Linked DNA regions of Alligator mississippiensis. The protein of the gene in region 1 interacts with the protein of each later gene in a biochemical or structural test. Links are inferred from orthologs where the notes say so. Each region holds a gene or a part of one and is shown in the gene's direction. Other genes may lie near its edges. The genes, in order: NMUR1 and NMU.

Region 1 (3,904 bases):
CCCGCGACCATCCTGAGATGCCTTCTGGGCAGGGAACTGCACCGGTCCAGCTCCCTTGCCCCTGGCACAGAGCCCCAGCACAGGGGCACTGGCTTCAAGAGCCAGATTTGCACTTCTGAGCACTGACCTCTGCCCTGCCCTGTCCCAGCCGGCTGCAGCAGGACGTGCCTGGGTCCCTGCTGCTGGCATTGGGGCTGCACCCGCTGCCTGGAGGACGTCGGGCCCCTCTGAGCAGCAGCACAGCATGGCCCCAGGGATCCCAGCCCATGCCAGGCTCCGTGCATGGTGGCACCAGGTCCTGCAAGCTGCGAGGGAATCCCACTGCCTGGTGCGCCGGTGCTGAGCTGGCGTGGGGTGTTTTGCACCCCTCCTCCCCCCATTTGCTGAGCTGGGCTAATCATGGCTTTTATTAAGGCCAAACAATTGCCTATCTCCTCGGTCCTGCTCAGCTCCGGGGTTTCAGCTCTCATAAACCGCCGAGCAAATATTTGCCTTGGAGGCCGGAGCAAATCGCTGGGGTCTATTTGGTAGGGGGGGGGTGCCTGGCCCAGGCGGTGACGTGGCCTCAGCACCCGGGCACGGGGAGGCTGGCACGGCAGTGCTGAAGACCTTCATGGGTGACCTCCTTGATTAGCCGGCCTGGTTACCTGGACTCCTGGGTTCCCTCCCTGGCCAGTGGGGACTGGTATTTAGCCCCCAGGGGCTGGGCAGAATCAGGACTCCTGAGTCCCATTCAGCTTTCATAGGCTCAGGTGAGCACGTCCCCCTGTGCCTCAGTTTCCCCTCTCAAAATGGGCAGGCACGGGGGCTTTCTGGAAGCCCCAGCTAGACACGGGATGGGGCAAGGGTCTCCCAAAGGGGCAAGGAGACCAGGGGGAGGAGAGGACCTGCTGGTCACAGCCCCCAGCAGCCGGGGCAAGGCCTGGGGCTGCGGGTCCAGAGCGAGGGGCACCGCTGCCCAGCTGCAGCTGAGGCTGGGGGGGAGCCGTGGGGATGCACCGCCCCCTGGTGGTGCTGGAAAAGCCAGCGGCTCAGCCAGCCCCCGCCCCTGTCCCCTCCCCACCTCAGTGATGCTCTTTCCCCCCAGCCCGCTGCAGCTCGCCCACACGCAGCGGGCACCAGCACCGATGGAGTTAGGACTTCAGCTGCCACCTCAAACTCCGCCTGGAGCTGCGAAGATGCTCGGGCCAGCCCCAGCCCTCTCTGCCTGGACCCTGTAGCCCGGTGAGCCCCTCTCCACACCCTGCCCACCCAGGCAGGACCCTCCAGACAAGCAAGGCTTGGAGCTCTTCAGCCCCGAGCACCTGATGCCCTAGTGATGGGGACACCGGAGCCCCACGGCCAGGAGGAGCAGGGTGCCAGAACCCCAGAGCGGGGGAGCGGGGTGCCCAAGCCCCAGAGCCCCAGAGCCAAGGGGATCATGGTGCTGGAGACCGAGGACCAGGGGAGCAGGGTGCCCAAGCCCCAGAGCTGAAGGGTTTGTTGTGACGGAGCCCCAGACTGGGGGAGTGGGGTGCCCAAGAGCCAAGGGGATCGTGGTGCTGGAGACCCAGGACCAGGGGAGTGGGGTGCCCAAGCCCCAGAGCTGAGGGGATCGTGGTGCTGGAGACCCAGGGCTGGGAGAGATCGGTGCTGGAGCCCTGACCCTGGGGAAGCAGGGAGCTGGAGTCCCAGAGCTGGAGGAAGCAGGGTGCTGGGGCTGCGGGGAGCGCGGTGCTGGAGTCCCAGAGCCTGGGGGATGCAGGATGCCAGAGCTCCAAAGCTGGGGGGAGTGGGGTGCCAGCCCCCAGAGCTGGGGGGAGCCGGGTGCTGGAGCGCGGAGCCAGGGGAGGGGGCAGGCTGCTGTGGGGAGCACCGGAGCAGTCACAGGAGCCGGAGTTAGGAAGCGAGGGGGCTGCTCTCCCTGCAGGCAGCCGGGCAGGCATGGGGGGTCTGGTCCCTGGAGGTCACGCAGGCAGAGCGGAGAGGGGGGCTCTGGCTGTGAGCGCGTGCATGTGAGCAGGTGCCCGGCTGGGTGTCCGGGAACCAGCCTGATTGCCAGAGCCGGCCCCGGAGATGTGGGCGCAGGGGGTGCCGGGTGGCTGGCGGGATGCAGCAGGGCAGGGTGCAGGCTCCTGCCCCCCCCCCCCCCAGCCCTGCTTGTGGCCATGGCAAGGCACCAGCTCTCGTTGAAACTTCCCCGGCCAGCTCCAGTTCAGTGTGGGATGCTAATGCAGTGCTGGGGCCCCGAAGCGCCCGTGGCTTTTCTGGAGGGGTGGAGGGGAGGGGGGACCATGCCCCCATGGGTCACCAAGCTGTCACGGCCCCAGCTGGAGAGGGTGTCCCCATCACCCACCCCGACCCTCTCCGAGCCGTGCTCTGCTCTGTCATTCCAGAGCCTCTCCCGGCCGTGCTGCCGCCGGTGCCGCAGTGCCCCTCGCACAGGTAAGGCACCGGTTGTGGGGAGGTGGGAAACTCCTGCCAGGACCTGGCTGGTCCCATTCACCACCCCCCTCCCCAGCCCCTGGCCGGGGGGCTGAGCTGGAAGGAGCCGGGGGGCAGCTGGAGGCAGGGCGCTCCCACTCCCCAGACGGCTATGGAAGCTCATCCAGGTTCTGGGCAAGATGCGATACCACCACCCCCTGACTTCTCCCCTCTGCGGTGTGGCAAGGGTGAGGGCCGACCCTGGGGCCACGTGCCAAGCGGGTGCTCCGTGGCTGGTGCCAGAGGGGCTGTGGGGTAAGAAGGGCCCTGGCCCCCCGGTCCAGAGGGCACGTGAAGGGAGCAGGTGGAAGCCAAGCCAAGCAGAGACAGGGCTGAGCAGGAGCTGGAGGCCTGCAGGCTTGGCCCAGAGAGACCAGGAGGTTTGGGGGAGCGGGTGGGCACCTCCAGAAAAGCCCGGTGCAGTGTTGGTGCAGTAGCAGGGCTGCTCTTGCCCATGGCTCAGTGCAGTGCTAGGGGCAGCCTGTCGTGGGCAGGGATGGACGTGCCCCTGAGGGCCAGACCCATCCAGTAGCACCCCGAGCAAAGCCCCACACAGTCCAGCCTCGCCACACCACAGGGCTGAGGCCAGACCCTGCATGGGACCACGCGGTGGGGTGGGGGGCTGAGCTCTCCAAGGGCTCCCAGGCACTGAAGCAGGGGGCTGCCAAATCTGGGTCTACATTAAGAGCATTAGCTCTTCCTGGCCGCTGTCTGTGCCCTTGCCACCTCCATGGGCAGAGCCGGACCCCCGGCGTGGTACTGAGTGTGGGTGGGTTGTATCGGGTACATTTGGCAGCCCCGAGGCGGCTCCATCGCTGAGCTGAGCCCAGGGGTTGAAGCTGACAGAGGTCTGGGGTTGCAGCTGTGGCTACAGCTGAGAAGCAGGGACTCGGATAGAGATTCAGTCACTCAGAGCTGTCCCGGGGGACAGGGCTAGAAGCCCCCCTGGCTCCAGCAGCTGGGTGGGCCCAGGGCAGGCATCTTGCATGGAGAAGGGCTGGGAGCACCTGGGCTGCTCGCGGCATCTCCCCCATGCCAGTAAGTCTCGTTGCAGCCAGAGGCCATGTATCCCTACACCAACTGCACCAGCCTGGCACCCCTCCGCGACTACCTGGCCCGGCTGGAGGCCGAGGTGCTCTGCAATCACAGCCACGTGGACCCGGAGGACATGACCCTCACGGAGGACGAGCTGCGGGACAAGTACCTGGGGCCGCGGCGGTCCAGCTTCTTCGTGCCCGTCTGCACCACCTACCTGCTGATCTTCGTGGTGGGCGCCGTGGGCAACACGCTGACCTGCCTAGTGATCCTGCGGCACAAGTTCATGCGGACGCCCACCAACTACTACCTGTTCAGCCTGGCCGTGTCAGACCTGCTGGTGCTGCTGCTAGGCATGCCGCTGGAGCTGTACGACATGTGGAGCAACTACCCCTTCCTGCTGGGC
Region 2 (3,904 bases), on another chromosome or scaffold:
CCTTTGGTCAGGGTAAAATTTCTTTGCATCAACATTTTTCCCTGTCCCTCTTTGCTTATCTCTTATTTATTGCATCCGTTCCTGGCTCCGTCTGCAGAATTTTAGTTCTACTCGTAAATCAATTGTTAGTCTACTTGTCTTAGTGATAAGTGTGGAAGCGAGAGTAAAAACATGCGGAGTGCATAAGCAATTACAAAAGCAGGGTGTATAGATTATGCTGTATTTTTACCACAGTTGGATTACTCGTGGGCCTCTGGTTAAAAGCCTACCCATAAAGCATTCCTGAACTGGGGACTAAGGATCTTAACTCTGACATCCTTGTTTTCCCCAGTCTTTGTAAGAAAGGGTTAAGGCAGGGGTTTCAAGCACATCAGGCCTCACTGGTTGGAAGAATACCCTGGGGCTGGTCCATGGGCTGGATCGGACCTATGGGTCAGATCAGCCCTACAGACCAGCCTTGTGCTCTAGATCTTGGACTGGCCACAGAAGGTGCTGTGTGTGGTGCAGTTCTGCTTCATGCTCTGGGGCATAAACTGGAGTGGGCATTGCGTGTGCTGCAGGGGCCATCCGGTGTGCCCCACATGCTGCCAGCAGGTCAACTCTGAGACCAACTGGCAGCAGTGGGTACTGGATGATGATGAGACTCTGCGGGCTGGCTCTGGCCTGCGGGCTGTATCTTTGACATCCTTGGGATAAAGGACACTTTATCGCAGATGCCAAGGATGGACAGCTCCAGAAGAAATCGTTTTACAGTCAGTCTGAAACCAATCCCTGTTGTTTCAGGGCTCCTTCACATGCACATGCACATGCACATGCACACACACTCTCTCTCTCTCTCCCTCTTGTTTTAGGGCTCCCTCTCTCTCACCTCTCCAGTTGTTTCAGGGCTGGTTCTCCCCTCCACTTTTTCAGGGCTGGTACACACACACACACACACACACACACAGCCTGTTGTGTTAGGGCTCCTCTGTCACACACACACACGCACCCCTCCCTCCCTCCCAGCTGTGTCAGGGCTGGCACGCGCAGACCCGGGGCTGTGGCGGGCGGGGGAGCGGGGTGACGCGGCCCTGAGTCCGGGGGAGGCCGCCACGTGTCCCGGAGATTTAAAAGTTTGGGAGGGAGCGCGCCCGGCCCGCGCTGCAGGCTCCTCTCAGCTCCGGGAGCGCACGGGCCAGCCGAGCCGGACCATGCTCCGCACCAGCCTCTGCCCGCAGCAGCAGCCGCCCGCCGGCCCGCAGCGCAGCCCCGGGGACGTGCCGGGCGCCGCCGCGCTGCTGCTGCTGCTGCTCCTCGCCTCCTGCACGGGCGCCTGCCGAGGTGAGCGGCGAGGGCCGGGGGCAGCGGGGCCGGGGCCGGGGCAGCGCTGCGGTCGGGGCCGGCCGCCTCCGCTGGCGCTCGGGGCGCGGGGGCAGCTCCCGCTTAATACCCGCCGGTGCCTTGGCTTCCCTTCGGCACAGTCTCACGCCTTTTTCATTCTGGCTGGCGAAAGAAATGATGCCTGAGACGGTCTGTGAAGTTCTTGCTGGCAGCAAAGAAATGAGAGGGGGAACTTCTTGTTTTCTTTTGAGCAGAAACCCGGGTATAGCAGCAAGCGAGGAGTGAAGTACTGGTTTCTATATTACTCTTCTAGCAGTCGGGGGGGGGGGGGGGATTGTTGCGTTTAAACTTGAGTTGTTTTCCTTTTCCAGGTCCAAAAAAAATCAACTGTTTTGCAATCTGGCTTTTATTTGCAATGGGTCCAACACTGAATTGGAGAATTAATGTAATCAACTCTTATGAATCTCCATTTCCTTTATAAAGGCTAGTAATAGAATCACAGAAAATGCAGGTTGGAAGGCACCTTGGGAGGTCGTGTAGACTGGGGGTTCTCAACCTGTTTTGTACCAGGATCCACTTACGAACATCACTGGCTGGCCCCAACCCAGCTCCCCTTACTCCTGACCCGCTGCTCCTATCCCCAGGCCCCAGTGTGTGGGGCCTGGGGGGCCCCAAACAGCCCCTCACAGGCTGCAACTCTGCCAGCCTCCAAGGGGAAAGCCAGGGTTTCCCACATTTTTTCCCTGTAACGGAGAATCCATTTTTAAAGTTTCTTGGTCCATTTTAAATGTTTCTTCCTGACCCTTTCATATATTCTTGTGACCCACTTTTGGGTCACGACCCACAGATCGAGAAACACTGATGTAGACCAACACCCCTCCTCCCCCAAGCAGGACCATCCCCAACTATCTCATCCCAACCAAGGCTGTGTCTAGCTGGGTTTTAACAACTCCGAGATTCCACCACCTCTCTGCCCAGACTGTTCCAGTGCTTTACTACCCTCCCAGTGAGTGTTTTTCCTAATATCTAACCTAAACTTCTCTTGCTGCAACTTGAGACCATTGCTCCTTGTTCTGTCATCTGCCACCAGAACAGTCAAGCTCCATCCTCTCTGTAGTCACCCTTCAGGTAGTTGAAGGCTGTTGTTAAATCCCCTCTCAGTCTTCTCTTCTCCAGACTTAAGTAAAATGATGTTGTAACTAAATAAATGGCATTTTAGTAAAAACAGAACTTATGTTATAGACAGATAGGTAGATAGCATTTCCTATTCTATCAGGAGCTTTACAACATCATTGCAAGCGTAGTTATTAACTCCTTGCAGAGTAACCTCATACAATAATGCATTACATATTGACTGTTTTTGCTTTGTTTGTCTTGCTTGTATGGGAGTTGCTCTTTTACCTGTGACTGTGATATTTAAGCGCCATCAGAAAGTAGCAGGGTCTAAATATTTTACCTCACTAAAGAGCATGCTTTTAAAAAGACCAAAAAAAATCTTTGAATTTACACTGTTACCCATAGATACTAGAACCAAATCTGAATGTCTGGAATATCCACAGTGCCCCAGAAGTTAATGTTTGATGCTGCTATTTCCTATCAGAGGGATCCACTTTTAATGAAGCGATATTTACTTGCCCTTTTAAAGGATTAGGAATACAATTCTGCATGGGTCTGATGCTCTCAATTCCCATTTATTTAAACTGCTGAGAATTGTGGATCTTCAGGGAGTCGGAGGATCAGGCCCATATTGTTGACAGACGGGTCTAGGGTTGCCAGTAACTTCTTAAAATGATCTAGAGCAGGGGTAGGCAACGTTTTTTGGCTGGAGTGCTGAAAAACCTACAATGCCTACCTTGGAAGGTGCCGACGTGCCAGCAAGCCAGAAAAACAAAATGAGGACAGGGGGTACATGGCAGGATGCTCTGCTTGTGCCCCTTGCCCCCACCCAAAGCCCTTGCCTCCCAGCCCTGCTGCCCTGTGCCCCCCACCCTTGCTGCCCCTTACCCCCCAGCCTGGGCTCTGTGGCTATCAGCAGTTACCCAGAGCCTAGGCCAGCTGCAAACATCTGCTGCCTCTCCACCCTGGCCCTGGCCTCAGCTGCCTCCCAGCCCCAGACCTGGCCCCTGGCTCTGCGGAGGCAGCACATACCGGCAATGCTCCCTGTTGTGCTGCCCTCACCTCCTGTGTGCACAGGAGCAGCGTGGGCAGCAGCGCAGGGTTGCGCCCCTTCCTGCTGCCCCCACCTGCAGGGGAAGTGTGGCAGGGCAGTGGGGAGCTCGGAGCAGGCAGCTTTCTGAGCCCCCTGCTGTGCCCTGCCGCACTGGGTTCCAACGCTGCTCTGCAGAAGCGGCAAGAGCAGCACAGCAGGGAGCATTGCCAGTGTGTGCTGCCTCCCCGGAGCCCAGGTTCAGGTCTGGGGCTGGGAGGCAGCCGGGGCCGGGGTGCAGTGGCAGCAGATGTTTGCAGCTGGCTCAGGTTCTGGGTAGTTGCTGATAGCCACGGAGCCCGGGATGCTTGCAGCAGGACTTCCATGGGAGCAGCCCGAGTTCTGTGGCTATCAGCAGGTACCCAGAGCCGGGGTCGG

The links.
Region 2: the proteins of NMUR1 (region 1) and NMU form a complex in vitro, tested with the Homo sapiens proteins (2 studies listed by BioGRID). The link is inferred for Alligator mississippiensis from reciprocal best matches to the Homo sapiens genes NMUR1 and NMU.

Annotation. Positions count from the first base shown.
Region 1 is NC_081830.1:85,073,230-85,077,133, forward strand, and holds the start of NMUR1 (neuromedin-U receptor 1), read left to right. Parts: upstream 1-1,069; 5' UTR 1,070-1,224; intron 1,225-2,375; 5' UTR 2,376-2,424; intron 2,425-3,517; 5' UTR 3,518-3,526; coding exon 3,527-3,904. UniProt on the Homo sapiens protein: Receptor for the neuromedin-U and neuromedin-S neuropeptides.
Region 2 is NC_081825.1:60,617,921-60,621,824, reverse strand, and holds the start of NMU (neuromedin-U), read left to right. Parts: upstream 1-1,107; 5' UTR 1,108-1,190; coding exon 1,191-1,320; intron 1,321-3,904.